Schizosaccharomyces pombe: one gene and its partners. The gene in region 2 interacts genetically with the main gene of each other region. Each region holds a gene or a part of one and is shown on either strand. Other genes may lie near its edges.

Region 1 (11,079 bases), on a different chromosome or scaffold from region 2:
GAAATAGATCTAATGGAGCAACAATAAATTTCCGTAAATTTTTAGCTTGTTGAAGTTGCACCATATATGACGACCGAAATAAGTCTTGACCGTGAAGCAAAGCGGTTGTTGCATAATCAGGATCAAAAAATCCTGAAGCAACATTAGAAGGCATAGCATTCAACGACATACTGGCGACAATGGGCTCTATCGCCATTATTGACTCGATAAACTTGTTGCAGCAACATAAGAAATCATGAGACCATTCGTTAAACGCTTTGATTTGATTCCCTAGATAATACATGCTCGCCCTAAAAGACGGAGAATCAATGCTACATTCGTTCAGTAAGACTGGAATAACATGATCCTTTTTTGAAGACGCATTTGCAGGAGCGGCCATGATTTTTCATTTCCTTCTATTAGTTTCCAAAAACTTCAATTCATATAAGAAAGCATTAAGAACGATATGTCCACTCGTCTAAAGGATGATTTTTAAACCGGTATATGCGCTTTCGGCTGTCGGATGCGGCATGTTTGTAGCGGCGTACTTGATGTTTTTGACTTAAGAGTGACGCTGCATTTTTTAACCAAGATGAAGCAATTCGTTATATTAGAATAACGATATTTAAGTACTTCTATTATAAGGTAAACAAATACGAAATAACTGAGTGTTAGAAATTTAATCACAAGGAAAATGTTTCAGCTAGCTAAGGAATTTTTACTTAAAATATATAAGTGAAATGATTCCATCCTTATACATATCATAAATATAAATACATTTACTATTAGAAAAATAAAAGTGCTTTTAATTTTTCGTTTTCTTCTTTTTTAAGTAAAATTTACTAAGAATGAGTTAGCCTTATTACAAAAATTGTGGCACTAATTTGTGAGCATAGTATCTTAATTTATACTTGATGTTTGCACTTAATCTTTTTTAAGTCATTATAAAACAATATACAAATTGAGCACGATCAATAACTGTAATGGTCAGGTTTGGTTGTACTTCAATTGGTATGTAAACAAAATATTTGGTAAAGTGGTTAAATAAATTTTATGAACAGTTAGGAATTATGTATATAGTAAAACAAAAGCATCTCTAAAATTATAAAAAATACCTAGATTTTTCTGTTGTGGGTAAATTACTTGTTACTTTTTTTATTGCCACATCTGGTTGCTATTTGCTTTCAAAATTAATTTTTAAAAAAAAAATTATTATAATGAGTAAAGGGTGCAACCTAGAAACATGTTCAGCTGAGCTTGTTAAAAATATTTGTTATGTTTATAATTTTGAAGTAGTGTATCTTAAGCACTTGCGATAGCGAACTAAATTTTTCTAAATCATTGACATTAGAAATAAAAAAATAAACTACATTATGGTGCCATTTGCCCCATTAGATTATCAGGAACATCGTGCTAGCCATTTGCTATCTACGTTTCTATCAGACCATGTCGGATTTGGTCATACGAGGAAGGGTGTGGCAGAATACCTTGCGGTGGGCGGGTTTGTATGCATTGGGCGATAAAGACACGGGCATGTTGTGGACGGAGCAAATAACACTACTGTAACCAACAAAACTAGTATTTACTTTTCAATTCTTTTTTCTGGAGCACCAAAACTTGTACTCATTATTAAAATTCTAGGGAAATTAATTAGTTGAATTGGTTAGCAATTGACGATTCATTAAATTTCCTGCTATCAACCCAAGGACATGACTTTTGCTCATTAATTTTGTGTTCGTATTTCCATTGAGGGTTTCAAATTACTAGAGTTCATTTTACTTTCGTTGCTTTGCTTATTCGGTTTGCTCTGCGCTGCCTAAATCAGATCACACTTGGTTTTTGTGCTTTTTTTTTTAAAAAATTTCGATTCATTTGAACCGTCTCACAGAAGTTTCACTTTTACATCTTCGTTTCAGTTTCTCGTTCTTTGTTCATAACCATTTTTCATCTTCCATACCTTCCAGTTCATTACTTTTCATTCATTTCATTTCATTCCATGCTGCATGCATTATATTAATCACTAATTGTTTTTCCCTTGTTCGTTCGCTTCGGTAGTTTCTCAATTGATTTTTCTTTTGATTATTCGGGAAAAAATATCTGTTCATTAAAGGTAATACGTTGGTTGCTTTCTCCTTATTACAGTCAGTTTTATCCTCGTATAGTCGACAAATCTATCTACTGTCTCCAATTGTTATAAATTTAGATCCTGACTTAAGTTTACATTACATTTCTTTTTGAATCTTCCTTTCATTTTCGAGGTCTCTCTTTACTTCAATCTTTTTTAAGTCTTTCTTTTTCTTCAACTTACATGCGCCGAGGCGCGAAATGACCTTCAGAATTCCTTCCAGCCAGGAGTCTTCAAATAAATCCGAAAAGGATACCACTGTAAATTCTCCTAACGCTTCTAGTTTCTCCTCTTTCTTTAAAAAGTCTAGTCAGACATATCTGTCCAAACGTTCAGAAAAACTAAATGAGCATAACAGTAAACTAAAGTCAAGCGGATCTTTCACAAGTAATTCACAGACCGACTTGAGTAATTCGCCCTCTTCTAAGAAAAAAAATATTTTTTATCCGATCGCAAGAGCCAAGCACTCGTTTTACTTCAACCACAACTGGTCTTCGGATTTGCAGCAAGCAAATTCTCCTGTTGCATCGTATTCAAGTCAAAGCGTTTCAAACGATTCCAATTTTCCAAAAGATGTCACGTCTCCTATTTCGACAGACCTAAGCGGTTCCAATCCTTCTTTGAAATCACCATCTAGTATCAACTCGGCGAAACTTCGTGCTTCTCGATCATTTTTTCGATTTCCGAAGTGGTCTAGGAAGTCCTGGAATCCCGATGTTAACTCAACTACTAGTTCTCCTTCTGAAGTTGGTTCTCTCGATAAAGCTGGTGGCCCTCTAAACCAGCAAAATGAGAATTTGTCAGCGGAATCTGATAATACGATTTTACAGAATGGTACTCGGAAAAGTAGTGTCAAAATGTCCGACCTGGGGAAACGCATTGCTTCTTTACCTGTAGTAAAAAGACCTCCTATCCAGTTTTCCATATCTTCTGATTACATTAAGCCAGTTGATAAAAGCGATCAGACTTCTAACGTTCCATCACCTTCTTCTTCTGTGGGTTCCCTCCGGTTGTATCGTTCGCCTTCTATTCCTAATGATGTTGAACAACCACAGCCACAAAGCTCTCGGTCACGGCCTCGTAGTTCTACGATTCCTACCCAAAGGACTTTAGAAAGATTGAGAGAAAACCGTTCTAGTATTTTTAGTTTTCGAACTTTGCGCCGGGATGATGACGAATGCGTAGCTCAGACTATTGAAAATTCGGCTTTATTTTCTGATATTAAGCCTAATCCGACCAAGTTTCTTTCTTCTGTTCCGGAGCTCACAGCAGATGATACTGCGGAGAGTTATCTCTCAAAGCTTAGAGAGACAGTTCCTTATAGTCGTATGATCCCTGTTCTAGCAGAAAAGGATCATGTAACATTGAACAAAGCTCTGCACCTTTGTATGTCGGGAATGGAGTTTGAAAATCGGCCGTTGGATTTTTGCTTGCGGTTATTTTTACTTAAATCTCACCTTCCTAAGGAAACTCAACAGATTGATCGTGTCATCAATGCATTCTCTAAGCGCTATTTTGAATGTAACCCTGGGATGTTCAGTTCCCAAGATCAGTGTTACATTCTGGTGTTTTCTTTGATGATGCTCCACACTGACGTTTTTAATTCAAATAATAAGCATAAAATGACGAAGCAGGAATTCATAAATCTCTGTGACATAGATGAATTAGCTCCGGAGATAATGGAGTATTATTATGACAATATTACCTTTACTCCTTTTGTCAACCTGGATGATGAGTTGCTTCTCATTGAGAAGGAAAAGAACGAAAAGTACAATTTCACATCTCGTAAAAGGTTAGGGCTTTCTCCTTACACATTTACGTTAGAAAATCAATTGAATATTTCACGGCCTGAAATATCTCTCTCTTATGATGGAAAATTCATATCTCCAGGTATCAAAGATATTGCGTCTTTGCTGAACGTTAGAAAGTTGATTTCCAGCCCTGCGATAATTCAGCTTGTTTCTAAAAGATCTCATCCAATGGCATTCTCCAATCATTTTATTGGATTACCAGACAATGCTGACCCGGGACTAGTTGATTTTAGTATCAGTATGCTGGGCATTTTACCACGGTGTGAAAAGAAGCGAAGAAGTGTGGGGCACAATTCATACAAAGAGCATTTGGTTTTGTTGACCGCTTCTAGAATACTTTTTTTTCGTAATTTGGTATGGGCTAAAGATCTCATGGCTCAAAAGAAAGCTTATGAAAGGCGTTACAAAAATTTTACAACTACCTCGAGCAGTTTTGACACGTTGCAAGGTATAGATACAGAGGCTATGGAATATGAATTTCCAAAAATTCCTCCGCTTGTATTTACTCCACCTCTAGAAGAGTTTTCCCCCGATACCAGTTATTCGCTTGTTAATGCGTTTGCCTATTGTGACAGAGATAAGAAGAATGTACGCAATTGTTCTTTTACCGTCATATTTCGGGATGGATCTGAAGAGACTCTTTGTGCTCCAACAGAAGAAAGCATGATAGAATGGGTAGCTAAAATTAACTACATCTCAACACTTCGTACAGCTGGTCTGCGAATGCCTGTAAGTGATTCTTACCATCCTAAAAGAGACTTTTCTTGCTATCCAAAGTATATGGAGGAAGAATTAGCAGCAATTGAAGCTCAAATGAAACAGGATATGGAAATTGCACGTGCCCGGACAATTAAGACACGTATTGACCAACTTGAAACATCTATTACTGAGTTCAATAAGAAACTCATGGTATTACAAAGAAATGCCAAAAATTTATCGACATGTGCACCCCTACAGCCGAAAACAAGAGTAGTTATTTTACAAGCCCTTAAAAAGGTCGATGCTAAAGCGCAATCATTATATTTGGAAATCAGAAAAATGGAGTCACAATTGCAAGTATTGCGGTTTGAATCTGATTTAGATAAATGCATTTCTCTTGAAAGTTCTAATGACATCGACGACAGACCTTCTTCGACAAGCCCAAGCACCCTAAAAAATCCGAGCATCAACTCAATCAATCGTCAAACACATGATGTTGAAAAAGAATCATCAGATAGAGATGTACCGCATCTTTTGGATCCTGATAATAATTTCAACTTGAAAGGCAACCCCGAAAACCCCTCATCGACATTTTTTACTCCTGAAATACTTTCACCAAAGGTTTACTCGGACAATGTTAAAGATGAGCCTGTCGAAGATATTTTTGGTTTTGAAGATACAAGCGAAAGCTCGCCCGGTAAACCCAGCCAATTGAGGCTTCAAATTGAAGCCTTTGATGATGAATTAGCTGACACAGCTAGCTTAGGTTCCGTGACTACATGTTTAGATCAATGGCAAACATTTTCGGACGATACAGATAGCGGGTTTGCTTTGAACCTGTACTCATCAGAAGATTTTCGCACGGATCCATATAAGGAACATGATGAGTTTAGTATGAATAGCCTATCGAAATGGCATTCTGCTACTTCTGATAATTAGCATGTATATCAAATGTTAACTACTATTATCTAAATATTTGTTCATCTAAAGTGATTTCTCTTTTTTTTTTTGATTTTTCTTATTTGAATTCATATCCGCGTATAGACAAGGATTCCCGCTTTATTTATTAATTATCTCTAAATCCATAATAATAAATTTTATCTCTCTTAGCCGTTCGAAAGTACACATTGCTGTAGTTACGATGCTTTAAGAACATTAATTGAAGAGCGTAACATTTGGTAGCGATTTTGATGTATTATGGCAATTCTTAAATATGTGGAAAAATTTAAGCGTTTATGTTAATTATATATTTTATCCGTCGAGCTACTTGGATTATGAGATGATCCACAAAACAGAAGACTAAAGGAATAGGTGGATAATGAATAAACATGAGTCTAATTAACTTCTAATAACAATTTTTAGTTCATTGATAAATGTCGTACTACATTTCGAAATAATTCTGCACCGCATGTAGAAAGACGAAAAAGAGTATAAACTATTTTTCTTTGCTTTTCAGCGAATACGAGTTATAAAAATTTTTTTGTTTTCGTATATTAATACCCAAAAATTAAATAATGCTGCAAACAATCAATAGCATAGTAAGTTATAAATTGAAAATAATGAAAAAGCACCAAACATAATATAAATACCATAACCGGAAATTAGTGGAATTAGGAAACAAGTCTACCATTAGATGTACTATTAATACGTTGCACCCGGCATTTCTTTTCCAGCATTTTTAAACCTAAAAATGGTGAGTATGCGATGCAAATTGTTAACTTACTTTTTCCGTTCATAAAACCAATCCGTCCGACTGGAACCAAGATTTATAACACGAGGGCAACCATCACGATCATATTCCATACGTGTGCATTCCGAACAATAATAACAATCAGAAACACCTGGAGCTCCACAAATAATGCATCGGTCTTGTGAGCTACCAAACGCGCATTCATCACATATTCTCACCAACGTTGTCGGCCTTACATGAGAATCACAAATAGGGCATTTTTCGTCACATCGTTCACATACTGTATATTCATGAGTATTAGAATCTGCCAATTATTTAACTATGCCAAATTATAGAACACTTTACACTTACACTTTCCAACAGTAATTCCTGGTTGTCTTCTGCATAATACTAAATCAGGATGATCTAATAAACGTTAGTATTTAATTTCATTTTTATTTCCATACGCTTTGACATTGTGAATATACTCAGAGGATTAATTTCAATGCAGCAGATATATATAGTAAATTTACGACGGTCCTTCGCGTTACGTTATGCTTAGTAAAATATAAACATCCTCTTCTGATTTCAAATTTCGTACTCGCTATTATGGATACGTTAAGCTGCAATACAGCCATGCAATGGCATAAACAAGTCGGAAAATGCGCGTTAGCAGTTGAAGTGCTATTATAAACAACGTATTAATAATGCTTGCAAGTATGTACCAAATATACTCTCCATTAAGCTGAGGATCTTTTTTTGTTGCGCCATATTTACGGAATTTTTGAACAATAAAGTAAAATAGAAATAAAATCTACTATTAACATTTATGAATTTATGATCAATGGACATACAGTAGTCGATGTTTACTGATGTATTGATGAAATTCAATTTTCATGGTAATCTTGTAGAATAAATAATTCTTTGTAGTAAAACAAATAAATGACGAAAATAAAGTGTTAAATACTTCTAATTAGGTACGCGATAACCAAAATTTAGATTCTTAAGTTTCAGCGTATAAACAAAAGGCACAATTACAATCGTTTTCCCTAACAGGCCAATTTACAGATAATCAACCATTGTAAATTGCAGTGTTTTGATAATATCTTCAAATTTATTCATAGTCATAAATATGATGCTAATGTATTCCAATCCTATACTTGACAATTTTGAAATTGACAGCAGAACTCGCAATGAAGATAAATTAAAACGACTATAGCTCCGATCATCCGAAAAAATAACAAGACTAATCGCAAGACTATTTTTTTTATTCATACATAAATAAAACAGGCATCACCCAATCCAGCAATCATTTCATTAACAACCTTTGGAGACTTTTTCAATGTGACACACAATTCATCAAAATGGTGCTTTCCATCCAGCAAACCAAGCAGTTTTTTCTCTTCTTCGGTTAAGTTATTCCTCATAGTCCTTCGTTCTAAGTATGGGTATTTATGCACACGATATATTAGCCCTTTTATAGTACCGAACGAGATTAGCCTTCGAACGTCTAAACCTTTGAAAATTTCTTTGTTCTCGTTCATCCAATCCTTAACACGAAGTCCTTGCCTTAAACTACAATACAGTTTGAAAATAGTAGCAAAAGTAACGTTTTTCGCATTAGAGCTGTTAGTTGATACATATGCCGTACATTCTCTTTGAAAATCTGGGTCTTGTAAAAGGTTAGGAGCATTAGTAGTCATAGCATAAATATTATGGAATTGAAAAATATCAGCTATAATTAGACAACCGTAATATAGAAAGTGTTCCATGCATTTTTGACAACTTCTATAGCTAACATTAGCTAATTCAGCAATCCTTTGAACTGAGTTTATGCCATTAATAAAAGGATAAACCTAAAAAATTAGTCAATTTTAATTTTTTTGGAAGAGAGTACCTTTTGAACAGTCATATCCCAATTTTTGTCCATGAGTAAATCCAACTGAGCCGTTAAAATTGGTACATGAAAACTTTTAACAGTAGGAGGAGAAGGAAAAACGGGAAAAAGCTTGATATTAATAGAATTTTGGTCGTCTTAGAAAGTTAGTTAAAGTCCGAATGAAATAATTGCGCATACCTAGCTGTATCATACACTCACAAAAGTTGTTCATGTCCTCCAAAATTTGCTCAATTACGCTGAAAATTACAGGTCTTTTGTTCAAATCAGATATATAATGAATTTGCTTTTCTAAGACCTCTAAATTTCTCGCTAGTCGCTTTACTAGTGGTATATAACATGCTGAATCTTCTTCTTCATGAAAAATCATACACATGTTGAAAATCAAAGCATTTCTCTCATAATTGCTACCTATAATTGATATTGGATGTCCAATGACTTGATAATGATTAGTACAAACAGTAATTGTTTTGTTGCAAAGTTCGCGTTTCGGAATCACATAGTCAGAAATAGTTTCGAATGGTAAAAGACAGTTCTTTCCACCATCAACATTTGTTACCGATCCAGCAGGAGCTTCACAAGCTACTATAGGGCCTTGTAAGGGATCAAATAATGCAAAAAATATTGCCAATAAACGAGGCGGAAAGCTGTCAGCTTGATCCATCCATCCCTCTTCAGAATACTCCATAGGAAAGCTAAAGAATTTAAAAATTTCCGAGTTTTTTATCTAACCTTTAATTTATGAAGCTAAAACTTGTAAGATATTTATTTTAATATTTCGTTATGCCCCTACTGGTGGATGCAAAAGCTTATGTGCAAGTGTCGATTTGGGGACTAACTTCAAAAACCATATAAATCTTTGTACGCTACCCAGAAAAGTAGTTGTGCTAATGAATTTATTATTTACAAACAATATTCAGATTTCTGCATTGATGTAACGGTAAGATGGAAAGTCATATAACACTTGTGTACATTGGGTCAGTAAATTATACAAATTTGATTCTTAACGTCAAAGCTTCCTGACTACAGCCACATTTCGCTACATCATTAATGTTAATAAGGTGATAAAAATCATATCTGTATTAACATTAAGGATTATTTCGTATGGATAACAGATGCTAGCAGCCTCTAGGGTTAAAAGATTTTAAAAAAGTATAAAACTTGATTTTCTTAATCTTTTTGCTTGATAACTGCGCTAGTAATATCCAGTATACACAGTAATCATATAAAAATAGTTAATCTTTGAAACGATAGTTAATAGACTTCAGTCGGATAAATCAAATTTTTACTGAACAGGAAGTTTTAATAAAAGTATTTGTGTTATTTTTACGCTAGAATTCAAATACTAAAACTAAATTTGTGTAAAGCAGTATTATTACAACTTCTGCTTAATTCTTAACGTAAGCTTTCGCTTAACTTAAACCTAAATAAAAAGATCACAAAACCGCTAGATAATTGTAAAACCTTTTATCCATTCACTGAGTCAATTATTTGTCCATATATAAATCTAGAGAGAGAGAATTGTTTTGTTACTATAATTGATTTCCTATCTTTTCAAACATTTGAAGATATAAATCGCTAGTTTCCACAGAAAATTAAAATAATGAGGCACCAAGCCATATTGACTGTATAAAAGATAAATTAAGGAGATACAGTGGAAAATTGTGATTGAGCCAGTGAATTTTTTCGCTGTTAGAAAGCAACGAAAAATACGTCAAATCATTGAAACTTCAATTAGGCATAAGTGCATGAAAGCTCGATAATTGTTCGAGTTGTTTAGCTTAAAACGAATAGATTAAAGTGCGAAAAGAGCGGATGCGTTTAATTTTTAGGATATTTGGTTTCTTTTAATGAGCTTTAGTTCATTCTTACTATATCGTTTTGTAAATAAACAGGTTCTGCCTGGTTTTCTCCTTCCTATTTTTTATAAGCAATATATCCTTAGAGTTTTCATAAACTTGACAACTTAACAAAATTAGTTGCTTGAAGTTTGAAGGGCCTCCGTTAATGGCTTTTTTTTTGTTTTTAATTTGATACGCTTCACTTTCAAGTTGATCATTATAACGTACCTCAGTGAGATAAAGACTGACGAGTCATCCAGCTCTAGCTAAGTATACTCGAGATATTTTATTGCAATATCTAATAATCATTTAAACAAAACTTGAATAATTCTGTTAAAATCGCAATTCATAAAACTGTTATGTAATTGTCATCGCTTATACATTAGCTTGTGATATTTACGTGTTTATCCGAGTGCACTATACATTAAAGGCACTACCACACCCGGCCAAATTGAATGTTTTGGGATTTTAAACATCGAATTGAACAGTCTGTTACAAATTTTAGAGAAACAACTTATGAAGCTTTTAGCCGATGTAAATTATTCTTGAAGACACTTCCAAAAACATCAATTTTTTTTTTTGACAGTAATTATACTAGAATGCCTTTTGATAATATGTTTTGAAGGATATTGTATCGGACAATTCCGTACTGTGGAATTGCTAAAGAATCTTGGAATTGACAGTTTGCCTATTTCATTAACGCTATTTATTTTTGCATGCTTCTTTATATTATATTTATGCGTAGAAGCTTTAAGTTCAAAAAATATAATTGAGGTACGTGAATTTTAAGCTATCCGTTTTTATCAACTAGAAAAAGCAAGCGGGATTTAAGTTTAATTCTTAAACAGTGCTAACATCCTTAGATCATCGGATTGCTATGCATTCATGTCGCATTATTTATTTATTCCATTGTTCAAATTTCAGAATTAGCAGAGATTCAGAAAGTTTTTCTTTCCAAAACACAATCCTCTCTTAATCCTATAACGCTAATTTTGAATAGGCATGAGGCAGGTAATGAGGGCATTTACTTTATACTTGAAGTCCCCAAGAGAATCAAA
Region 2 (11,079 bases):
AAACGAATTTTATCTGCTTGGGCTAAATGCTTGTTAAAGCGAGAATCGAGAGAATTAAGAACAGTTAGCCGAATATCTGGAACAGTATCGCAAATACCAACTGTTAGAAGCTTTTCTAGCACTTCGGCAACTACTTGAATCGCATGATCACTAGTCTGCGATAAAATAGGATCACGAGCAAATAGTTGGGAGCAGGTTATGGAGGCGGTTTTGCGTACTTCCGGGTCATTGTTTTCAAGGTATACAACTACACAATCCTTCACAAATTCATTAAGAATATAACCGGAGAAGTCAAAATTTCCCAAAACTTTTAGAGCCAAAATATAGACGTCATTGGGAAAAAATCCTGTCTTCAGGGAAGCACTCTTTGAAGATTTTAAAGATCTTGCTACATATTGGGGAGGACATCCTGGAGGAATAAAAGGACGACCACTTAGAATTTTGCTGAGCATATCTAATAGTCGTTCCTGTATGACTGGTAATAATGGAGGTATATTATGGGCCAGATCTGAGAGAGCACGGTAAGAAGCCTCAGAAAGTCCGCTTGCAAATATTAAGTCAAAGAGGTCATACGCATAGTTTGAAAAGGCTTGTCCTAGTGCTATAGAAAGTAGGCTAATGCATTGAAAAATTGCAGCATCCGAAGCACTTTTATTACGGATATGGATTTTTAGACTTTCCTTGATTGAATCGCATATGGGGTCAAGATATGGGATTATGCTATTAGTAATAGCCACGGCAACTTTTCCAATAGTGGCAAACGCCAACATCTTAACATTTTCTTTTTTTAATAGATTAAGTAGATGGAGCATACAAACGTGTAAATAATTGGAAACAAATTCATCTGGATTATAAGCTGCGAGTGTAGCAATCAATTCTGTAACGGTTTTGCGAATAAGCAAATCTTTGTGATCTCTGAATTGCAATATAATGTCCGATACTTCTCGATACCTCTCATGCATAAACATTCCAGCTTTTAAAAATAATTGGCGATATACTAGTAAACTACCATGAATGTAATCAGAAGAACCCTGTGCAACACCACGTTGAGCTTCATTGAGAATACTTGTATACCATTGGAGACGGATGGATGAATCCCTTTGCCTAACGATTTTCAAGAACTCACTCAACGCATCAGCCGAAGCTATTCGAATAGTAACTTTTGGATCCCGAAGTCCATGCCATAAAAGCTCAAAAATTGAATCGATATGAGCATAGATTAATGTAGACGTATTTTTGGCAAGCTCCTTAAGTATAAGCACTGCTGCATATCTACGATTTTCATTACGTTCTCCTTGAAGCCATTCCAAAGCGCGTTTAACTTCGAAGTTCACAAATTCAGAAGTTAGAGCACCTCCAGGAACTGCAAGTCTCCCTAAAGCTTTTGCAGCAAGAACGGTGGCTTTTTGGTCAGTTCCTGGAAGAATAATACGCAAATAATTTGCAAATCTAGTAATCCTTGTAGTATCTTCTCCTTCATAATCAATTAGACGATTTATGGCAGTTACGCCTGCCAGACGATCGAGTGGATCGGTACTGTGAATTAAAGTATAAACGTACTTGTTAACATCATTGTTAAACTGAACTAAAGCTTCGCCCGATAATTCTCGAGAATAAGCTATAACATATTCATAAAGATCATTTGCCGCTTTATTGCGAATTTCTTCATTCCTGCTTTTCAACCCAGGAAATTCTTTCATTATATACAGCTTAAATTAGCATCATTCTCTCAATTAAACAAAATTATTAAATGTGGTTGGTGGTGACCAAACAAGCACCTGCTGTACTTTTGCACCTAATTCTTAGTATACGCAGAGAGGAGATCAATAGAAACACGATTGAAAAAGTAATATTTTTATGACGATTAATTATTTGTAATAGATATACAAGTTAATATTTAGTGTTCTCAAAAAATCCAAGTTTTATTAAAAAAAGTCTAAACTTAGGAACTTTGGTAAAATACCAAAAACGAGTGTTGATTATCTAAATTTTATTTTCGAAGTATTACTTTAAGTTTTTTACTTTACATTTTTCTCAAAGCTCATAGAGGAGAACAAATAAGAATCGCTGTTAAAGATTCTGACGCTAACCACCAAGTTCACAACACTTGTGATATTGCTAATATCCCTTTCTCTATTAAATGGTTCTGTATAAAAACAAAAAAAAACAAATCATTAATTATGCAAATTCGAATTGGGGTCAAAATGAAGGTGTAGAATTTCAAGAAACTATGCTACAATGCATCCTCGAAGCTGTCATTGTAAGTAAAGATGCTAAGCAAGTACTTAGTCTGTTACATGAGTTAAAGCTTTTTGAGAATTTCCTTTGGCAGAGGGTTAATACTGAGATGTCATTGAACCATATAAACTTAACTTGTATGCTTCTATTATACAAATCCAAATATGAATATATTACATGGGACCTCATTGATGAAAATCGGTTTCAATTATTTTTTGAAAAAGTAATTGAAGTCTCTTTATCCTTAAATTTATCAGAAGTGGTTTACATGATTCAATTCATTACTCTCTGTTTTCAGTTTTCGAATATAGAGAAATTAAGGAAACTTGTTTACCAGTTAACGAACATTTCTATTTTAAATTCGCTTGATAATCTTGATAAAGTAAAATATTTACTACATGACTCAAGCTCTCTGACGAAAGCCTTTGATTCTTATAAGGAAAAACGACCGTCTATCGTTGAAAAGTTCCCTTTACATAATTTACTTTCCCGCTGGATTCATTCTCTGCTTATTAAATCGATTAGCTACGCTCAAACTGAAAAACAAGAAGCGAAAGTAACCCCCCTTTTAGCAATTATCAATATGTCTTTGGTTTTACTATCCGCATTTCCCACACGTCGCTTTGCTCATCCCGTAATAGAAGACAGTTGTTTTTATACCGCATTAAGAATGTCTTTGTATTACGACAGTAATGAGCTTTTTAAAAAAATGACAGACGACTTAAACTATGTTTTGAAATTCCCTTTTGATAATACCAGAGGTAACGAATATGAGAAAGAACAAAAAATCAGAAATGATGAGCTTGTGTACTACCACTTACAGTTAACTTTATTTTCGGATTTTCAGAAGGAATTAGGGGATCTGGTATTTTGCACACAAACCTCTTTACAACAGCGACAAAAATTGGAGGAAATTACGTCTTTTCTTTCCTTCAATTCACTTAAGTCCTTGTGTAGTAAATGTTATTTGAGGACTTCATTTCCCGAAAAATATGCTATAAAAGTGGATTTCGAATTTTTAAAAAATGTTTTTATTAACACGTATGATAGGACTAGATTGGTAAATGATTATGATGAAATCATAAATTTTACTTTGAAAGATGTACTTGGTGAGCGATCCGTGATGGACCAAGAAAACTCTTTGACCAATTACTTCCTACTACAAAACACTGCTATACAATATCTTTCTATATCTTTTTTTATGAGACAACAGAGTAAAGCTTACAAAAAGTTATTGTTAAGGTCACTATATGCTGAACTTTTAAATTTCAGTGAACAATACAGGAGACTATCAATTAAAAATGCGACCAAGAATTTGACCAAAGATAATTTTTTCTCTTTAAATAACTTTAAAGTTACCTCCGTTGCTCCACCTCAAATCGGTCAAGTTTTACCTCAATTTGTAAAGTGTCAAATGGGTTTAAGTCGACCTGGACCTTTTCATTCAGCGTTACGTGATTTAAAGAATTCCATCAAGAGCCCTTTTCTTTGCTTAATATACATTTCTAAAGATATGGAGTACAAGTTATTACATGGTAATGCGCTTGACCCCTTAGAAGGGGTGACTGATTTTACAATCGCGACGATATGCAATGATGATGTTGGAATGTTTCAAAGCGATATGCAGTCAGATTCTGACAACAAGTCCATCAATGTATACCTAAGCCCATTTTATTATCATTCCCTTGCGGGGTTGGGGGAATATCGCCCTAAGCAATTGAAGTTCAACTTTGCTTTGGTACTGTCTCCTGAGGCAAATAAGTATTGGTTGGACTTAAATATTCTTGTATCTTTACTTAATCGCGCTAAAGAATTTCCTAAATGGTTCGAAGATTTATTTTTGGGTTTTGGAACGCCTGATATATGTGCTTTTCCTAATGCTGGGCTTAATTCTATTTATGCTAGAAACTTGTTCAATACAGTCGAACAGTTGCAATCAGTACTTCCTAATTGTCATGTACCTTCTAATTTATCAACTGAATCTTTACTAATCAAATTTTATACTAATCAGAACAAAATATCAGCTGATGTTACCGCATCTGATAGGCATTTTTTACTACCATCAAATCGATTATATACTTACAATGACAAACAGCTAGAATCGATTTTACGTGGATCTCAACCAGGATTAACTATGGTTAATGGTCCAACTCGTTGTGGAAAACATGTTTTGGTATGCAAACTTCTAGAGGTTTTACAAGACACATCTCCCAATGATAGAACCGTTGTACTTTCTGACTCCAATTTCTCTATGAATACTTTGTTTACCTTACTGGAAAAAGCTAGATGTTTTCACCAAGGGCACCTATTATATCTATCTGATGAAGGAAAAGACGAAACGTTGGAACGTTATGGTACTTTATCGTCTTGGATATCTAAGCTTCCTGGTCTTCTACGAGAAATCGGTCGCCTAGCTGCTTCAATCCAGGCTCCAGGTTCTCATGACGCCAGCCCAGATACGGCTTTGTATTTTAGGGATGCTTATATTAAGCGACTTTGGGAAAAGTACTTGAACACGGTAGATGATAAGGATTCTGTGGATGCCTATAACAGGTTCCCTTTCCATTCGTATTTCGGTGACAAATCTAAGCGTCCGATAGAAACGTATAATAAAGATAATTTTTTCGATTATGCGACAAAGTTATACGGGGAGTTAGAATATATGTTCCAACAGCTGGAAGAGATCCGGCCTTTTGGATTACTGAGATATTATGAAGATCAAGAATTGTATGCATTATGCCAACAATCTAGGATTATCGGATGCACTTGGACGAGCTTAAGTACACGCTTAGGGACTTTGAAAGAAAAGGGATTTTGCTTTAACAATTTAATTGTTATGAACTCACAAAATATAAGTGAAAGCTCTATCACTAGCATACTACTTTCAAACTGTGAACCAACTGGTTTTGATCGCCTTGTTCTTCTGGGTAATCAATATCTTACCTCTGGGAATCAGGATATAAATAATACGTCAAATGGTTCACTTTTCAAACGTTTGCGGTATTTGAAATCCAGAATTATTGACCTTAATACGCAATACAATGTTAGAGAATCTATCAGTTCTCTATGTTCATCAATTTATCCTTTGGACATCAAAACTGTGGATTCTAGTCCCAATAAAAGACTTGATTATGGTAATTCGGGGTTTGCACATGAGGTCCAATTTATTAATGTGGGAGCTTTTAAAGGTTCTCAAGAAACAGAACCCGTTAGCGGTTATAAGCAAAATCTTGGAGAAGCCGAGTACGCAGTTGCCTTATTCCAGTACATGCGAATGTTAGGTTATCCCACCAACGAAATTGTAATCTGTACGCTTTATGAGAGTCAAGTCAGCCTTTTAAATGAAATTATATCGGTACGCTGTTCTCATAACTCGTTTTTTGGTCAGCCTGCTTTTGTAGGTACCGTGGAAAAATTACCAAGCGATAAACGGGTAAACTTTGTTATATTTACGACAGTTGAATCTAAAGAGGCCTCTGATCATTGGAATCCAAAAACATTTTATAAAGCCTTTTCAGCATGCTCATATGGTCTGTACGTATTGTGCAACCGTGACCTTTTTCGCTCTACACGTGGTCTTGAAAAACTGTGGAATGAAATTGAAAAGACTCCTGACAAGCTGCTTTTAACCACGGGAGAAATATATCCAAGTTCTCACAAAATCGGATCTTCCGTTGAAACATTTGAAATTGAAAATTTACTTCATCTCTCAAACTATGTTGTTGAAATGACTAAAAAAAGGTTAAATACGAATTAAAATAAAAACCTACTTCATATAGACTATTTGCTTGTTGTATTGAATTAATGATTATTTGTAAGATTAAAGTCATTTTATTTCATTGCTTTTTTGCATAATTAACTTATTTAAAAAACTAAATAGTGAGCTTTACAAACAATAAAAAGTTGATCCCCTCAGAAAAAGTCTTAGGTGTCATACCGATAATAGCTCACTACTTTATTCAACTATACAACAAGTTGGGTAATACATTATTTGCACGAAGTTAACGTCCAATGATTGATTGGTCGAATGAGTAATAAATATAACAATTTATTAAAAGAAGTTGCAGCTAAATATGCTAGTATCATTCTAAATGATGCGAAAATTAAGTCTTTAACTTCAATAAATAGTGCCGAATATCTATATGATTCATTTGTTGAAATTAGTAAATTACCACTGGAAAAGAAGCTTCCGTTAAAATGGAAACTGATTACAGTAAAGGAAAATATTTGCACGAAGACAAATTTAACCACGGCAGCCTCTAATATGTTGAAGGGTAGACAATAAGAATATATTTCAGTTACTAATTGCGGTTTAACTAGACTACAATTCTCCGTTTGATGCGTCAATTGTCGAAAGCTTGAAGAAAGCCGGCGGTATTATTCTTGGTAAAACAAATATGGATGAGTTTGCAATGGGAGTCAAGAGCGAAAACAATCTTTTTGGTCGCACTGTTAATCCTGTTGTTAAGGATAGTAATTACGATGTTGGGGGCAGCTCGGGAGGAGCTGCTGCTGCAATCGCGGCGGATATATGTTATGCATCAGTTGGTTCAGACACAGGAGGATCAATCCGTCTACCTGCTGCTTACGTAGGTTGTGTAGGTTTTAAACCATCTTTCGGCAGGATTTCGAGATATGGAATGCTTGCCTTTGCCAATAGTTTTGACACAGTGGGTATCGCTGCAAATAATGTTAAGGGCGTTACCAAAGTATTTAATGTTTTAGACCATCCCGACATAAATGACTCAACCTGTTTAACTAAAGAAGCTCGTTATTTTGTTAAAGAGCAGCACAAAAAATTATCGCGGAAGCCAATTAAAATAGGAATTCCAATTGACTGGAATGTTTCTGAGACTCATCCAAACGTTTTAGATAAGTGGAATGAATTCATATCTCTTCTGAAATCAAATGGTTATCTTGTCCAAGAAATACAGCTTCCAATTTCATTATACGCTAACAGTGTATATTCCACAATGGCTTATGCAGAAGCGACTTCAAATTTGGCTAAATATAATACTATCGCATTTGGCAATTGTTTAGATGAAAAGTTCGAAGAGGAAATAATTTCATCTACTGCACGCTCTTTTTTTTTAGGAGACGAAGTGAAAAAGAGGCTACTGCTAGGCGCTTATTCACTAGCAAGAATGTATGATATAACTGATTTACTAAGTAGTTACTAATATTTACAAATAGGAATTCCTCTGATTTGTTTTCTAAGGCTCGATACGTTCGCCGAGCCATACAGCTGGAATTCAACAAAAACTTTTTTCTACCTTCCTTTTCTGTCGATGATCCCAGGGGTGACATCGATTTCATAGTTACCCCTTCTTTTTTTAATTCCAGTCAACCCATTGAAACCCCGTCCTCTTATAGTCATCTTTCAGATACTATGTTAGTTCCAGCGAATATGGCTGGAATACCATCCGTTAGCATACCTTTCGGTACTTTGAACAATGGGCTTCCAATGGGAATTCAAATTATGGCCCAATATCTTAATGACGAAGATTTGTTGTCTTTTGCAGGCCAGTTTGCATAGATTTCGGCTGCTTATCTAAACTCTCGAAACATGGCTATGATAATCTTTATGAGCATAATAATTCTTTACTGTTTGGAATCAATTTCATACATTGAAACTTGTTTGCAAAGAGTTTTGGAGAACTTGTCATCAATAATTCGACAGTTTCCCTACAACTGCGGTAAATCCAATAAATAGATGTGGATTCTGAATCATTTACACTTCTCAGCAACATAAATTATTTTTACATTTCAAGTCGCTAGTTTATTCAACCAAAAAAAATGCATATCTGAAGGATGGAATTTAACGGGTAAGCTTTTAAATACAAAACCAGGAGCAATCGGTTTGTCAGATAATGAACATAGTGCACTGTCAAGATATATATGATAAACAGCAACAATTGTATAATTTACCAGATAAATTAAATTTGATTTAATCGAAATAAATGTCTCAGTGCAACTGTAAATGAATTTTTTGACATTATAATAAGATAACGCACTTTGTGAAATTGCGTATTTATGCCTTAAATCCTAAACGAATGCTAACCAGATCTACACATTTAGCATTAGTACGCTTTAAACCAGTTGTTTTTAAAGGTTAGGATAATTTAAAACAGCTACCTTTCAAGACTCCAATTTTTGTTTTCAAAGCATGACTACCAAGCAATGGGGTATTACACCGCCAATTAGTACTGCACCTGCTACTGAACAGGAAAATGCTTTGAATACGGCTTTAATTAATGAGTTGAAGAACCAAAACTTGTTTGAATCTCCTGCCGAATCTGAAAAAAGAGTAAAGGTTCTTGATGAGTTGCAACAAATAACGACAGAATTTGTAAAGAAAGTATCACTTGCCAAACATATGAACGAAAAGATGGCTAATGAGGCAGGGGGGAAAATTTTTACGTACGGAAGTTATAGACTGGGCGTTTATGGACCTGGATCAGACATAGATACCCTAGTCGTTGTACCCAAGCATGTTTCTCGCGACAATTTCTTTCAGGACTTGGAACCTATGCTTCGAGAAAGAGAAGAGGTAACTGACCTTGCTGCTGTACCTGACGCCTATGTTCCTATTATTAAGTTTAAATTTTTGGGAATAAGTATAGATTTAATTTTTGCTCGTCTTTCAGTTCCGCGTGTTCCCCGCGACCTCGAATTGTCTGATAATAACTTATTAAAGGGTGTTGAAGAAAGATGTGTGCTAAGTTTGAATGGTACACGTGTTACGGATCAGATTCTGCAGCTTGTCCCTAATCGTGCTGTTTTTAAGCATGCTTTAAGAGCCATAAAGTTTTGGGCTCAACGTCGTGCAATATACGCTAATGTCGTAGGATTTCCTGGAGGAGTCGCCTGGGCCATGATGGTAGCTCGAATTTGCCAACTATATCCGAATGCAGTATCTTCTGTGATTGTTGCTAAATTTTTTCGTATTCTTCATCAATGGAATTGGCCTCAACCAATATTGTTAAAGCCCATTGAAGATGGCCCCTTACAAGTACGTATCTGGAATCCAAAACTTTATCCATCCGACAAAGCTCACCGTATGCCAATTATAACCCCGGCTTATCCATCAATGTGTGCAACTCATAACATTACTTTATCCACCCAAACAATTATCCTTCGCGAAATGGTTCGGGCTGGAGAAATTGCTGACCAAATAATGGTCAAGGCTCTTCCCTGGTCAGCTTTGTTTCAAAAACACGACTTTTTTCATCGTTATAAGCATTATCTTACGATCACAGCAGCTGCTAAGACAGCTGAAGCTCAATTGAAGTGGGCAGGTTTGGTTGAATCTAAGCTTCGTCATTTGGTTACTAGACTGGAGCTTGTTGATGCTATTGCTTTGGCACATCCTTTCAATAAAGGATTTGATAAAGTGTATAATTGCTCCAGTGAAGAAGAAGCTCAACAAGTAGCTAGCGGCGTTACTCTTGAAGTCGCATATGAATCTACGGATCATGAAAAATTAGCCAACGATACAGTTAATGAAGAGAAAGCCGACAATACTGAGAGTAAAGCTGATGGTTCTGAAAATGGTGAAAAACAAATTTTTCCTGTTTACACTACAACATGTTATATAGGGCTTGAACTTGAAAAGAAGAAAGGCAAGATACTACATTTTGAAATTAATTATGCTAACTTTATTAGGTCATCCAATTAAAAGACTTGATATTTCTTGGCCTACCCAAGAATTTTACGAGTTGTGCAAAAAATGGGATAAATATGATGACACCTTAATGAACGTTTTCATTAAGAATACTAAAAAGTAAGTCATTTTATATATATACACTCTCACACATTTTAGTACTGCTTTACCTGATGAAGTTTTCGAACCTGGAGAAGAACGGCCGAAAGCTACTAAGAAGAGGTCCACTGCTGACACTGCACATAGTACAGAGGTAAGAATTCCGATTTAGCTATCCATTCTAACGATCTTTAGCAATTAAAACGACAAAAAGTTTCAACGGCATAAATACCCACACATAAGACTCAAACCGTTGCTTGCTTAACACTCACGAGTATATCTCATCATTCATTGTGGTCTTATCTTACAACCTATATTAATTGTAGTCACTATCTGTAGACAGGATCAAAAATCAAGTTCTAAATTGTCTTCTGTTTAGCAAAACAGCTTTCAATTTTCATAGAGTAATTAAGGAAATAAACTGCTTGTATATTATCGATATTGAACCAGTATTTAAGTTTTTTAAATTTACGGACTAAAACAAATTAAGCTCTTTGAAGTCTGACCAATGTATTCTAATATTGAACACATAGAAAATGACAGCAAGGCATACAAGGATTATAAAAAATACAAAAAGAATGCTAATGCCTAGTTTCTGTAAATCCTTTCGATACAATTCCTTTTGCTCGTCATTTAAAATTGCCTTCTGAGTTCCGTTTCCCTTCTTTTGTTCAGACAACTTACTAACATAGGCCTTTTCGTACATCTCACGGAAGCGCCGTGGAAATAAGCTTTCAGATACTTGCTCAATCTTTCCACATTCAATTGAAATCTTCAAAAAGTTGGGATCTTTAGGAGTGTTCTTATAATGAATATCACGGGTGTAACGAAGGAATAAATCACAAACATTCTTCAAGTTTACAGAATGTAGAATAATCTGGACAGCCTGACCCTTCCTTATCTTAACATTAGTTTGAAAAACATCCGGGTTTCTGAAAACTGCAGCTAATGTGGCAATTGCCATTACTTGTGGAATAGCACAGAAATTAAATATTTCCTGAGTCTTCAATTGAGAAAGATAAACGAGAGCATCAGTAGCATGTGTTAAAGCATTAGCAGTCATATCAGATAAACATTCA
Region 3 (11,079 bases), on a different chromosome or scaffold from region 2:
CTTCCTTTCTGTTTCTTGAGTTTTTCTTACCCCCTTTCTGTTGTTGTTGTTATTGTTTTTCATTTTTTTTTCTTTTTGGGTTGTTTATCGAAACATTGCCTTGCCATTTAAGATCTAGTAATTGTTCGTTTTTATTTTCTTTCTTTTCTTTGGCATCCATTGCTTCTCACTTATTCCATATTATACATTTCTTTTTCTTTTGCCTCGTTTCTTTCCTTTTTCATGACCGAACCTGGCAATCTTCAACCGACATTTGTCGGTTTCATTGGCACTACTGTCGATGCACTCTTGCTCTTTGAGGCTTGTCGTCAAAACTATACACACTTTGTCGACCGTCGTCCCCAAGATCGTGAGCGCGAACGTCTCATTCGTTCGGGAAGTGTGTTTGTCTTTGATGAGGTTCAGTCCGGTATAAAACGCTGGACCGATGGTATCGCCTGGTCTCCTTCCAGGGTCATTGGCAACTTTTTAGTGTACAGGCAACTTTGCAAGAAGAATTCCGTTTCCGATCGTAAGCGAAGCTCAAAGTCTCGCTCCGACAGCGACGAAGAGGAGGTTTCCGCTTTTACCGTTTCTGTTCCTGTCGACGTTGACGTTGCTTCCCACGTCAATATTAGTTCTCCGTCTGCTCCTTCGCTTAGTGACAACCTTTTTCCAGGTTCTTCTTTTTCTGCCTCTTCTCAGCAGAATCCTTCCTCCCCTGGCTCCAATGACATCAAATCCGAATTTGCCGCTGTTAAAAATGAATATGTGCTTTCCCCTACTAGTCCCACCACAAGTGCTGCGTTCCCGTCTTCCTTTTCTTCGTTGCCCCTTGTTTCCTCCAAACCGACTGGTACCCCCTTTGTCCCCAAGTCTCCCCCGTCCTCATCTCCATCCACCACCAATGTTTCCAATGCTTCCACTTCTTCCGCGCCCATAAATCCCAGGGCCCCTCAGACCAGGCGTGAATCCATTTCTTCCACTTCATCCATCCATTACTGTTCCTCCTCTTCCCTTTCCTATCTCCATGATACCGAAAGAGCCTTGGTGGGCTCACTCACCGACTCTTACGGTTTTAAAAAGAGTGGCCTGATTAAAAAAACTATCTCTTTAATGATTGATGGTCGGCTTCACCATCTCATATCTTATTATACCCCAGAAGACGTGCTCAATGGGAAACTTCAAACGCCCAGCTCGTTCAATTTGTTTCAACAGTTAACCATTTCAAAAGATCTATTAGAGTACAAAAGCTTCCGTATTCCTCCTTTGGTTGAGGCTGCGGAATCTGAAAAGATTTCTCAATTGAGTACGCTAGAAAAGCGAACTCTTCCGTCTTTTCCTTATAACCCTTTCTTCTCTTCCTCCACTGCTGAGATTGATCCTTACCATTTTCAGGGTCTTACTCTTTCTACCTCTCCGATTTCTGGTGTAGAGTCCTCTTCTCTCTCTTCTGCAATATCTAGGAATCAGTCTAATCTTTCATCTTTTCAACAACAGCAGCAATTTTCGGCTTTGCAGTCAATTTCAAACAATGCCTTAAATGAAAATATTGAGCAGCCTCCGATAAAGATGGCTGCTCGTCATTCCTACCCAAACTTTTTACAGACTCTTCCACAGTATATGAATGATGTTTATAATCCATCCGGATTAGCCTTTAACCCTGTGAATCCCAATGCTAATAATTCATTTGTTAATTTGAATTTAATTCAATTCACATCACCATCTCAAGCTCTGTTCGATTACGGAGAAGGTCCTTATGTCGACCAAAAATCACAGTATTTGCAGCCAAAACAGCCGTCTTCTAACACTGATTCAATTGACCAATCTTCCTATAACATGTCTCTTGCTGCTTCCAAACAATTTTTAACGTCTGACACGCAACCCGATGTCAATGAAAATTACTCTTTTATTTCCAATTCTATCCCAAAAAACTTATCCACCTCTTGGAACCAGAATATGGGTTATCATGTAACTAATTCAAACTCAGAACTGGCCTCTCAAAACCCGCTTTATGCTCAACAGGCCGTGTCAATGGAGAGTATGGGCAATGCCATTCAGTCAAGCGCTTATTCCGCTATGTCGACTCCGCATGGAGGTCATTATGACCACTATGCCGCCACTGCGAAAGGTAAAAATCCTTTAGCTGCTGAAAACCACGCTTCTGGTGGTCGTTTACCCAAGGTTCCAATTCCTCCACTCTCGAATATGCGTCGAGGATCTGTTCCTATCATACCTTCATCTGCTTCTTTACCAATGCGTACTTCGGGAAATCGATTCTGTCATTATTCTTCATTAAATGGAAATCACAATCGAATTTCGGCACGTACGAATCCTTATCCCATTAACAACCAAACGATGCTTTTTACTGAACCACTTTCAAAAGAACGCGGCTCCTTGTCATGATTACAAAAAAATTCTTACGAATATTAAGTTTTGTGAGGTTTTTTTTCTTTTTTTTTTTTAAATGTCTTAACGTTATGTATTAATCCTTTTATCCAACTCTTGTTATATGTGCCATATATAAGTAAAAACATTCCATTCAAGTAATGTTTTTTTTATGTGTTTACTGCACAGCTCAATATCTGTTTTTGTACTATTTGCTTTACATTCTGTTCATGTTAGTGGTAGTTTTCAGATGCTCTAGGATAGCTTTTTCCACCAGCAATAACTTATTCTTCAAAGCGGCTTTAAAATTGAAGTTTTTGCGAGTAGCATACTAAATGAATATTTATGCCAAGCAAACAAACCCTTTCAATAAATCTAGGAAGTGTATCATAGTAAATTAAGTCAATGGGCTGAGGAGCAGGCCGTCTATGGCGTATGAAAATTCGAGACTAGTTTCTGGAAATAGCATATAGTGTTTTCAAAGTTATTCACTATCAAGATGAAATTAAATTACGTTAACTTCTATGGAATTCATCCTTAAAGTAAGTTTGTTTCAAAATACCCATAAAATAGTTTTCTTGATTGACTTTAAGAATTCATATTAGGATTATGACATCTACACTTTTGTAAAACTAAACTTCCAATAAAAACCAATACCAAATAATGTTTTATTACCAATTGTATCAAAACGCTTCATATTCTTCCCAAAAAAAAAAAAAAAGGATCTTCTATCTAAAGATTTTCAAGGTTTTAGAGTTAAGATATTTCACGAACTAATTCAAAAAGGGTTTCAATCGATTAACGTTAAAAAATATGTTTTACGAGGTTTCATCACAAATTAATGATTTTACATTTTCCAACTGCGGCAAGTTGAATGAACAGCCAAATTACTAATTCAACAATATTGTCTCGCTAAGCATAAGTGAAATTGTCTTTCCTGACATGTTAATCTCAACATAGTTTGCTTACTTTAGCTTCGAAGCCGAGAAGGTTTTACCGAAATTAACGAATGTTATTTCTCGTTATTTCTCAAACAACATCATTCATGATTACTGTCCGCCAATTCACTTTTACCATCTTCAAGTTTCAATTTATGGCGACGTCCAATGTATCATCACGTGTAAATGAGCTTTTAGAAGCGGTTAAAAAGGAATTTGAAGATATTTGTCAAAAAACTAAAACCGTTGAAGCTCAAAAGGATGATTTTGAATATAAAGGTATCTTATACAAGAATTTGCTGACAAATTTGCGGTACAAATCTAACACTTCTTAAATTAGCAATGATATCTGCACAAATTAATGAAATGGCGCTCATGAAACAAACCGTTATGGATTTGGAGATGCAGCAGTCTAAAGTGAAGGATCGGTATGTCAATTTTCCTAATACACGCTTGGCGAGAAGGTTTGTTATATTAGTACAAGGTTATGCAATTATTGTGAGTGTTGTAGAGTCTTACAAAAGCGATTCCTCTCTAAATATTTATACAATTTACGGTCGTTGACGATAAATCTTTAAAGATGCTAAATAATGGTGGCTCCTTTGATGGGAGTAAATTCTATTAAGTAATCTTTTCATATTTTTACTCCGATGAAGGGTATTTCGTTTTTTACTCAGTATTTGGATGTTTATCACTGTTCGAAGATTCTCTGTCCTTTTCACACTTTTGTCAGCACCAGCATGCCTTCTGCTATGTGAACATTTATTCTCAATTTTATATTATATTTTCTCGAAAGCTATCTTTCTTGTTACTAACTCTCTCTAGTTACGAAGAAGAAATCACCTCCTTAAAAGCTCAACTGGAAGCTAGACGCAAAGAAATTGCTTCTGGCGTCGTCCCACAGTCTTCGAAAACTAAACACGGGCGCAATAGCGTTTCTTTTGGAAAATATGGAAATGCGGGCCCTTTTAACTCGGACAACTCCTCGAAACCTTTGATACTTAATAACGGTTCTTCTGGAGGAACTCCTAAAAATCTTCGATCACCTGCCATTGATTCAGATGGTACTGTTTTAGCTCCTATTCAGACCTCGAACGTAGATCTTGGTTCACAATATTATTCCAGTCCTCATGTACGCCCTGCTGTGGGTGCAACCATGGCTGGATCTGCTATGCGAAGTAAGTTCAAGCTTGCATTGTAGCTTTTGGCAACAGCATTTGTTTTTTGACTTGATCAAGTTTATAGATACTTTTTGTCTTTCACTTTATTGTTTGCATCTGGTATGTTGTACACCGTATGTTCCCAGACAATTTTTTAATGCTGTCATTAATTCGTTTGAATTCCTTGCGGCTTTTGTTCATTTTTTGTAAAACAAAATACTATTGCCGAAACTATTTTGCTTCCTCGTTTTAATTTGGATTTTCTTACTTACCATTCACAGCATTTCCTTCCAATTTACCGCTCGGACATCCTCCACCTCCATCTGACTCAGCTAATTCTTCCGTCACACCTATCGCTGCTCCTTTGGTTGTAAACGGAAAAGTCTCAGGTAATCCTCCTTATCCTGCTGAAATTATTCCGACATCCAATGTGCCTAATAGAGAGGAGAAAGATTGGACTGTCACTAGCAATGTACCTAACAAAGAACCCCCGATCTCTGTTCAACTACTTCATACACTGGAACACACAAGCGTTATTTGTTATGTAAGGTTTAGTGCCGATGGAAAATTTTTGGCTACGGGTTGTAACAGAGCAGCTATGGTTTTTAATGTGGAGACCGGTAAATTAATTACGCTTCTGCAGGAGGAATCTTCGAAGCGTGAAGGTGATTTATATGTTCGCAGTGTAGCATTTAGTCCTGATGGTAAATACCTTGCTACTGGTGTCGAAGATCAACAAATCAGAATATGGGACATCGCTCAAAAACGTGTTTATCGTCTACTGACTGGGCATGAGCAAGAAATTTATTCCCTTGATTTTAGCAAAGATGGAAAAACATTGGTTTCTGGTAGTGGAGATAGAACTGTTTGTCTTTGGGATGTTGAAGCTGGCGAGCAAAAACTAATTTTGCATACCGATGATGGTGTTACTACAGTAATGTTTTCTCCCGACGGTCAATTTATTGCTGCAGGTTCTTTAGATAAGGTAATTAGGATTTGGACATCGTCCGGAACTTTAGTAGAGCAGCTTCATGGTCATGAAGAGAGTGTTTACAGCGTTGCCTTCTCTCCTGACGGAAAATACCTGGTTAGTGGAAGTTTGGATAACACAATTAAGTTATGGGAGTTGCAATGCGTCTCCAACGTTGCACCCAGCATGTATAAGGAAGGCGGTATTTGCAAGCAAACTTTTACTGGACATAAAGATTTTATTCTAAGTGTCACTGTCTCTCCGGATGGAAAATGGATTATTAGCGGCTCGAAAGACCGAACCATCCAATTTTGGTCCCCCGATTCTCCTCATTCTCAGTTAACTCTCCAGGGACACAATAACTCAGTAATATCGGTTGCTGTTAGCCCGAATGGCCATTGCTTTGCTACTGGTAGTGGTGACTTACGAGCAAGAATTTGGTCTTATGAGGATCTGTAAGAACTAGCGATGTTTCATTTATAGCATTGAATGACAATGTCCGAAACCTACTTAATTTTTTAATTCTTCATTTGCCAATAATGCCCATTGACCATTGTGAGACTCGCTTCTTGGCAAGTCTTTTTTCCTTTATTTTATAAAAATTCATAACCGATTTTGTAACCCTTCAAACTTGCGGCTTATTTTGGTCGGAATTTTTCTATCAAGTCAAGCCGACCAGATGTTTTTGCTAATTCTTGAATCATTTCAATTCCCTTTTTTTAATTTTTGATACTTCCATACAATCCCCGACAACCGAAACTCTGATTTTATCCATAGTATTTCATTAACTATTAAATCCCAACTTTTGTATATATTTAATAGACCCTTCAAGTTATGTATATGTTTGCGCGACCTAGCTACTTAGCAATTGGTTTTTACGGTTAAATAACTTCATATATTTTTTGAATTTTGAATGTCGAATACTAAGTTTCTATTTATTAGTTTTAATGTCGTTTCAACCTATTCCTCTTAGATAAGGTAATGCTTCCCCTAATTCATAGCAGCCTGTCAGCTCTCCTCCCCACCCCTACCAGTGTAGCTAATACTTGAAATCAACTTCCATGCTCATAGTTTATGATCTTGAATATTCCATTAAGTTAAGAGTTCAGATTTGCTTTATGTGGTTATTCTGCTGAAGGTCCTAATTTATTGACGTTGAAAAATAAAGGCCACATAGATGAACAATAAATCACTTTTGGATCTTTCTAGTGAGCCTGCTATCAAAGATACAGACATTCTATCATATTTTGATGCTAACCTTCCTTTTAAAAAAAGGCATCAGATTGTAAGGAGTATTTACCATGGCTTAAAATACTATATATATTCATCGACTTCTATCATTCAAGTATGGCAAAATATTCAGGATTTTATCTCCACCAAAAACGATAATGCTGCTTTTCGGGAGCTTGTATACAATCTTATGATGAGATATGTTTCTACACAAAAGCATCTCTCGATTATAGAGCGCCACACTTTTTTTCAAACTATTGAGAAAGATCCTTTTCAAGATATTGCTGAATTACAGCTTCGGCTTAAGAGTTTGAGTGTTTTAACGGATGAAGGGCACAAAATCTCCGGTATTGAGAATAGGGTTGGTCCTTTGTTGAGTGCATGGTTTAACCAGTATCTTCAATGGCAATCTCAAGCAACTGAATTGCAAGGCAAAGACGCAGATTCAAAGCTCGTACATTTGCTTTTTTTTAAAAGCCTTTTTAAGTTTTCTACCAACTTAGTAAAATTTCAGTGGTTCCTAGTGCCTGAACCTCAAATGCTACAGCTTGTTAATTCCGTGGTACAAATATGTAATCACGCTCGCTTAGAAGATGTGGTTACTGAGGTTCTGATGTTTTTTGATTCCATGATTCGCTACTCGGTTATTCCAAAAGCTTCACTGTATGATACTGTTCTTATTTTGTGTAGCACATACATCAGCACCTACTCATATTCGAAACTTGCACAATCTGTTATATTTAATCTTATTAGTAGTCCCGTGTCAAATCTGGCTTTTGAAAACGTATTTAATATACTTCAATACAATCGCTCGAATGTTAATGCTGTACGGGGCGCTGTGCGTTTAATGCGTTTTCTCATGCTGCAAGAAGTGAAAAATGATGCAATAGCTTCTATAACTTTAAGTTCAAGTATTGAATTTACTGAGTTTCCATTAGGATTTAATGAGAATGTTGATTTTGAGATCCTTGGTACTGTGTATCTTTTTTTACGTACACCTTCTATATTAAATCGCCTTAATTTTTTGGATTGGCATCGGATTCTTAATATTTTAATGTATTGTTCACAATATCTACCTTTGAAAGCTAGTACATCGAAGGAAGCATTTTCGAAGACTGCAGCATTTGCTAATATATATGATCGTGTTTTGGATTTTTTGGATTTCGAAGCCTTGATTCCACTGCTGCAACAATTTCAGGTTAAGCTGGTATTCTTTTTGAAGGATGTTCTTCCAGTGTTAAAGCCGAAAATTCGAAAAAAACTTTTACGTCTTTTTGAGACTTACAATCTTATATTTCCTTGCAATCAATATTGGGTATTCAACCTTGAATTTTTACTTGGTATTTACCAATGCAAAACATTTGATCTTGAAGATCGAGCTCTTTTATTTAAGCTTGTGGAAGATGCTTGCTCTGTTGCTGATGAAAATTCGGCCCCCATTTTGTGTTCGAAATTCCTTTTTCCAGTAATTGAAAGCTTTTCTAAGGAATCTGATGATTGTGTTGTTTCTCCTGTATATAATATGTTGTTTTTCTTGTCTGTCAATTTTCAAAACCCGGGACTTAAGGATTGTATCGATCATATTTTTCAACAGCTAATTTCCGACACGAGCTCTGTTACTGTTCGCAGACTTGCCACGAGTACATTAATTCGTCTTTTTTATTATTATTATGACTTAAGGGATGCTGTGCCTATTCAAGAAACACTGGCTAAAATGTTAGAAATCTTGGAGACTCCATCTTTCCCTTTTGTTTCTCGAATGTTGTGTTTACAATTCTTTCTTCGATTTCGAGCAAATGGGACGTCTATTTATATATGTGAGAATATAGATTTGAATGAACCCTTCAAAGTCTTAAACGTTGATTCAGAACTGATTCCTGCAGTTTATCCCATTTCTGATTCTTTTGTTAACTCAGCAACAGTAGAAAAGCATATTTGGGAACGAAAAGAAAACGATTTGATTAAAATTTCAAATCATTCTACAGAATATGGCAAGGACTTTGTAACGTTCCCAACGTCTTCCTTGTTAAGGTTTTATCGAAAATCCATGGCTACAGAGTCTAACTGGACTATCCTTATGTTCATGATTACCCACCTTGCTGATCAAATAAGTAATAGGAGTATGTTTATCGGCGCATTAGAAGAAATCTATAATTTACTTGATTTTATGTGTGATATCGTTTTTGAAAGAGTTTCTATATCTGCTGAAATTCCTTCTAATATTCGTAAGGCCAACATCATGATACCAATCTTGCAAAACGTACAAATGCTTTTTGTTTATCATGATCAATTCAGCAGGGCTCAGGAAGATGAATTAGTCAGCGTTTTTTTTGCAGGGTTGCAAAAATGGAACGAAGCATGTCATGTTTCTATTCATTCACTTATGTTATGCTGTTATGAATTACCCGTTTCAATTCGAAAGCAGTTACCTGCAATTTTAGTCACTTTGTCAAGGTTAATCACCAAACCTGATTTGAGCGTTCACATTTTAGAATTTTTATGCAGTTTAGCAAGATTACCTGATCTTATTGCAAACTTTACGGATGCTGACTATAGACAAATTTTTGCAATTGCTTTGAAATACATTCAGCACAGAGATTTCACTAAGGAGTCGAAAGATTCAAATGATACGGAGAGCATATTAAAAAACTCTTACTCATCATACGTTCTAGCTCTAGCCTATAGCGTGTTACAAATATGGTTTCTTTCGTTAAGATTAACTGAGCGTAAAAAATTCGTACCTTGGATATTGCGTGGACTGAAGCTTGCTTCTGAAGGTAAACCATTGGAAGATTTATGTCTTGTTCAATATGACATGATGCAACAATTTTGCTATTCTAATTCCGACATCAATAACCAAACATCTACTTTTGTTGACTCAGACGTGGAAAGTGAAACTTGGATTCGTGGTAATTCACTCTTTACGATAAACGTGTCGGTAAACTCTGGATTCTTAGAAGCTGTCATTCGTCGCCCGACAGGTACTACGCAGTATACTTTTCGAAATGAAGCAAGTCTGCAAAAGTTTTTATGGGAGGAAAATCTCACAAGTTCAAAGGCTCTTACGAGGGGGCTTTTGTGTACTCCTAGCAGCTTTGTCTCTCATTTCTTGGATCCACATGGTATTTCTTTATACAATCAGCCTCTTCTGCTTCCCTCTAATGATGATTCTGTGCGTAGGGCTATAAGTGTTTTTGACCGTATTCCTGTAATTGAATCACTGAAGGCTGGTCTTGTGTACGTTGGGTACCAACAGCGTCGAGAAGCAGACATATTGGCAAATACAAATCCTTCTGAAGATTTCCTTACTTTTCTTAACGGTCTGGGCACATTATTCGAATTAAAAACAGATCAAAAAGTTTTCGCTGGTGGTTTAGATAGGGAAAATGATATAGACGGTGCGTTTGCGTATTGTTGGAAAGATAAAGTTACCCAAATGGTGTTCCATTGCACTACAATGATGCCAACTAATATAGAACATGACCCTGGGTGCACATTAAAGAAGCGTCATATTGGAAATGACTTTGTTACTATTATATTCAACGAATCTGGTTTAGAGTACGACTTTGATACAATTCCTAGTCAGTTCAACTTTGTGAACATTGTTATTACCCCTGAATCCGAATCTATCAGAAGAACAGGGCGTCAAATTAAATTTTATAAAGTTAAAGCGTTGACCAAATATGATATTGACTTTAGCTTATTCCGTCGTTACAAAATTGTTTCAAGCGATGCATTACCGGCAATTGTTCGTGATGTAACTCTGAACGCTGCCGTTTTTTCACATATATATCATCGCAGTGCTGGTGATTATGTTCATATATGGGCTGAAAGATTACGACAGTTAAAAAGATTACGCGAAAAATTTCAAGCTTCAGTTTTACCAGAAGACTACAATCTCGACGAGCAAACAAAGACCAAGCTTCAAAATGGCACGAATTTTTCGGACTTTACTAGTTATTTATGAGCCATAAGGGCATATAAAAAGTCCTAAATTAAAAGATTGATTACGATTGTGCCTTGCCATCATTAATTAATTTTTTTTATTTAATCTTAAATATTATTTATAGATCAGATAATGAAGATGTTAAGGAAGATGAATAAAAGAAACGGTATCCATGTATATGAGATGAATGTAGAAAGGGTTATGCGCACAATTTTTTTAAACAAATGAATTGTTGTTGACAATGAAAATCGGCGTGCATGAGTTTTGTAAAGTGGGAGGCTATAACGGTCAGTTCCAAAAAAAAAGATAGCAGTCCTCAATAATATAAGAGCAAAAAAGATGGATATAGAAGCACCATACCAAACATAAATTTGAATTTGGTTAGGAAGAATGCATAACTTTGTCTGATAAGAACTTTTTTGATCGGCTTTAGGGTTGTCATAAGGATAGTTCAATGAGAGAAGTTGA

Evidence for each region.
Region 1: of tor2 (region 2) and npr2, changing one suppresses a phenotype caused by changing the other (phenotypic suppression), as found in Schizosaccharomyces pombe (3 studies listed by BioGRID, with this or other methods).
Region 3: of tor2 (region 2) and tsc2, a mutation in one rescues a mutant of the other (synthetic rescue), as found in Schizosaccharomyces pombe (4 studies listed by BioGRID, with this or other methods).

The regions. Positions count from the first base shown.
Region 1 is NC_003424.3:2,488,559-2,499,637, forward strand, and holds npr2 (Npr2/3 complex subunit Npr2), read right to left. Parts: upstream 9,005-11,079; 5' UTR 8,869-9,004; coding exon 8,361-8,868; intron 8,318-8,360; coding exon 8,181-8,317; intron 8,140-8,180; coding exon 7,555-8,139; 3' UTR 7,286-7,554; downstream 1-7,285. Other genes in the region: ltc2 (BAR and PH domain-containing protein), read right to left, coding at 1-379; guanyl-nucleotide exchange factor Sec73, read left to right, coding at 2,305-5,553; RING finger-like protein Ini1, read right to left, coding at 6,256-6,298, 6,338-6,584, 6,656-6,709, 6,751-6,760.
Region 2 is NC_003423.3:920,585-931,663, forward strand, and holds the start of tor2 (TORC1 serine/threonine protein kinase Tor2), read right to left. Parts: upstream 1,769-11,079; 5' UTR 1,701-1,768; coding exon 1-1,700. Other genes in the region: protein Cwf11, read left to right, coding at 2,141-5,995; gta1 (glutamyl-tRNA amidotransferase alpha subunit), read left to right, coding at 6,266-6,512, 6,559-7,384, 7,432-7,774; mRNA cleavage and polyadenylation specificity factor poly(A) polymerase Pla1, read left to right, coding at 8,405-9,860, 9,904-10,021, 10,061-10,154, 10,196-10,228; squalene synthase Erg9, read right to left, coding at 10,476-11,079.
Region 3 is NC_003424.3:369,498-380,576, reverse strand, and holds tsc2 (Rheb GAP, tuberin Tsc2), read left to right. Parts: upstream 1-6,445; 5' UTR 6,446-6,612; coding exon 6,613-10,632; 3' UTR 10,633-10,736; downstream 10,737-11,079. Other genes in the region: gluconate transmembrane transporter inducer Gti1, read left to right, coding at 223-2,385; transcriptional corepressor Tup12, read left to right, coding at 3,461-3,584, 3,646-3,733, 4,131-4,483, 4,747-5,894; SPOM_SPAC630.12 (lipid phosphatase), read right to left, coding at 10,737-11,079. UniProt on the Schizosaccharomyces pombe protein: Together with tsc1, required for uptake of various amino acids from the environment and for proper conjugation. Involved in induction of gene expression of permeases and genes required for meiosis upon nitrogen starvation.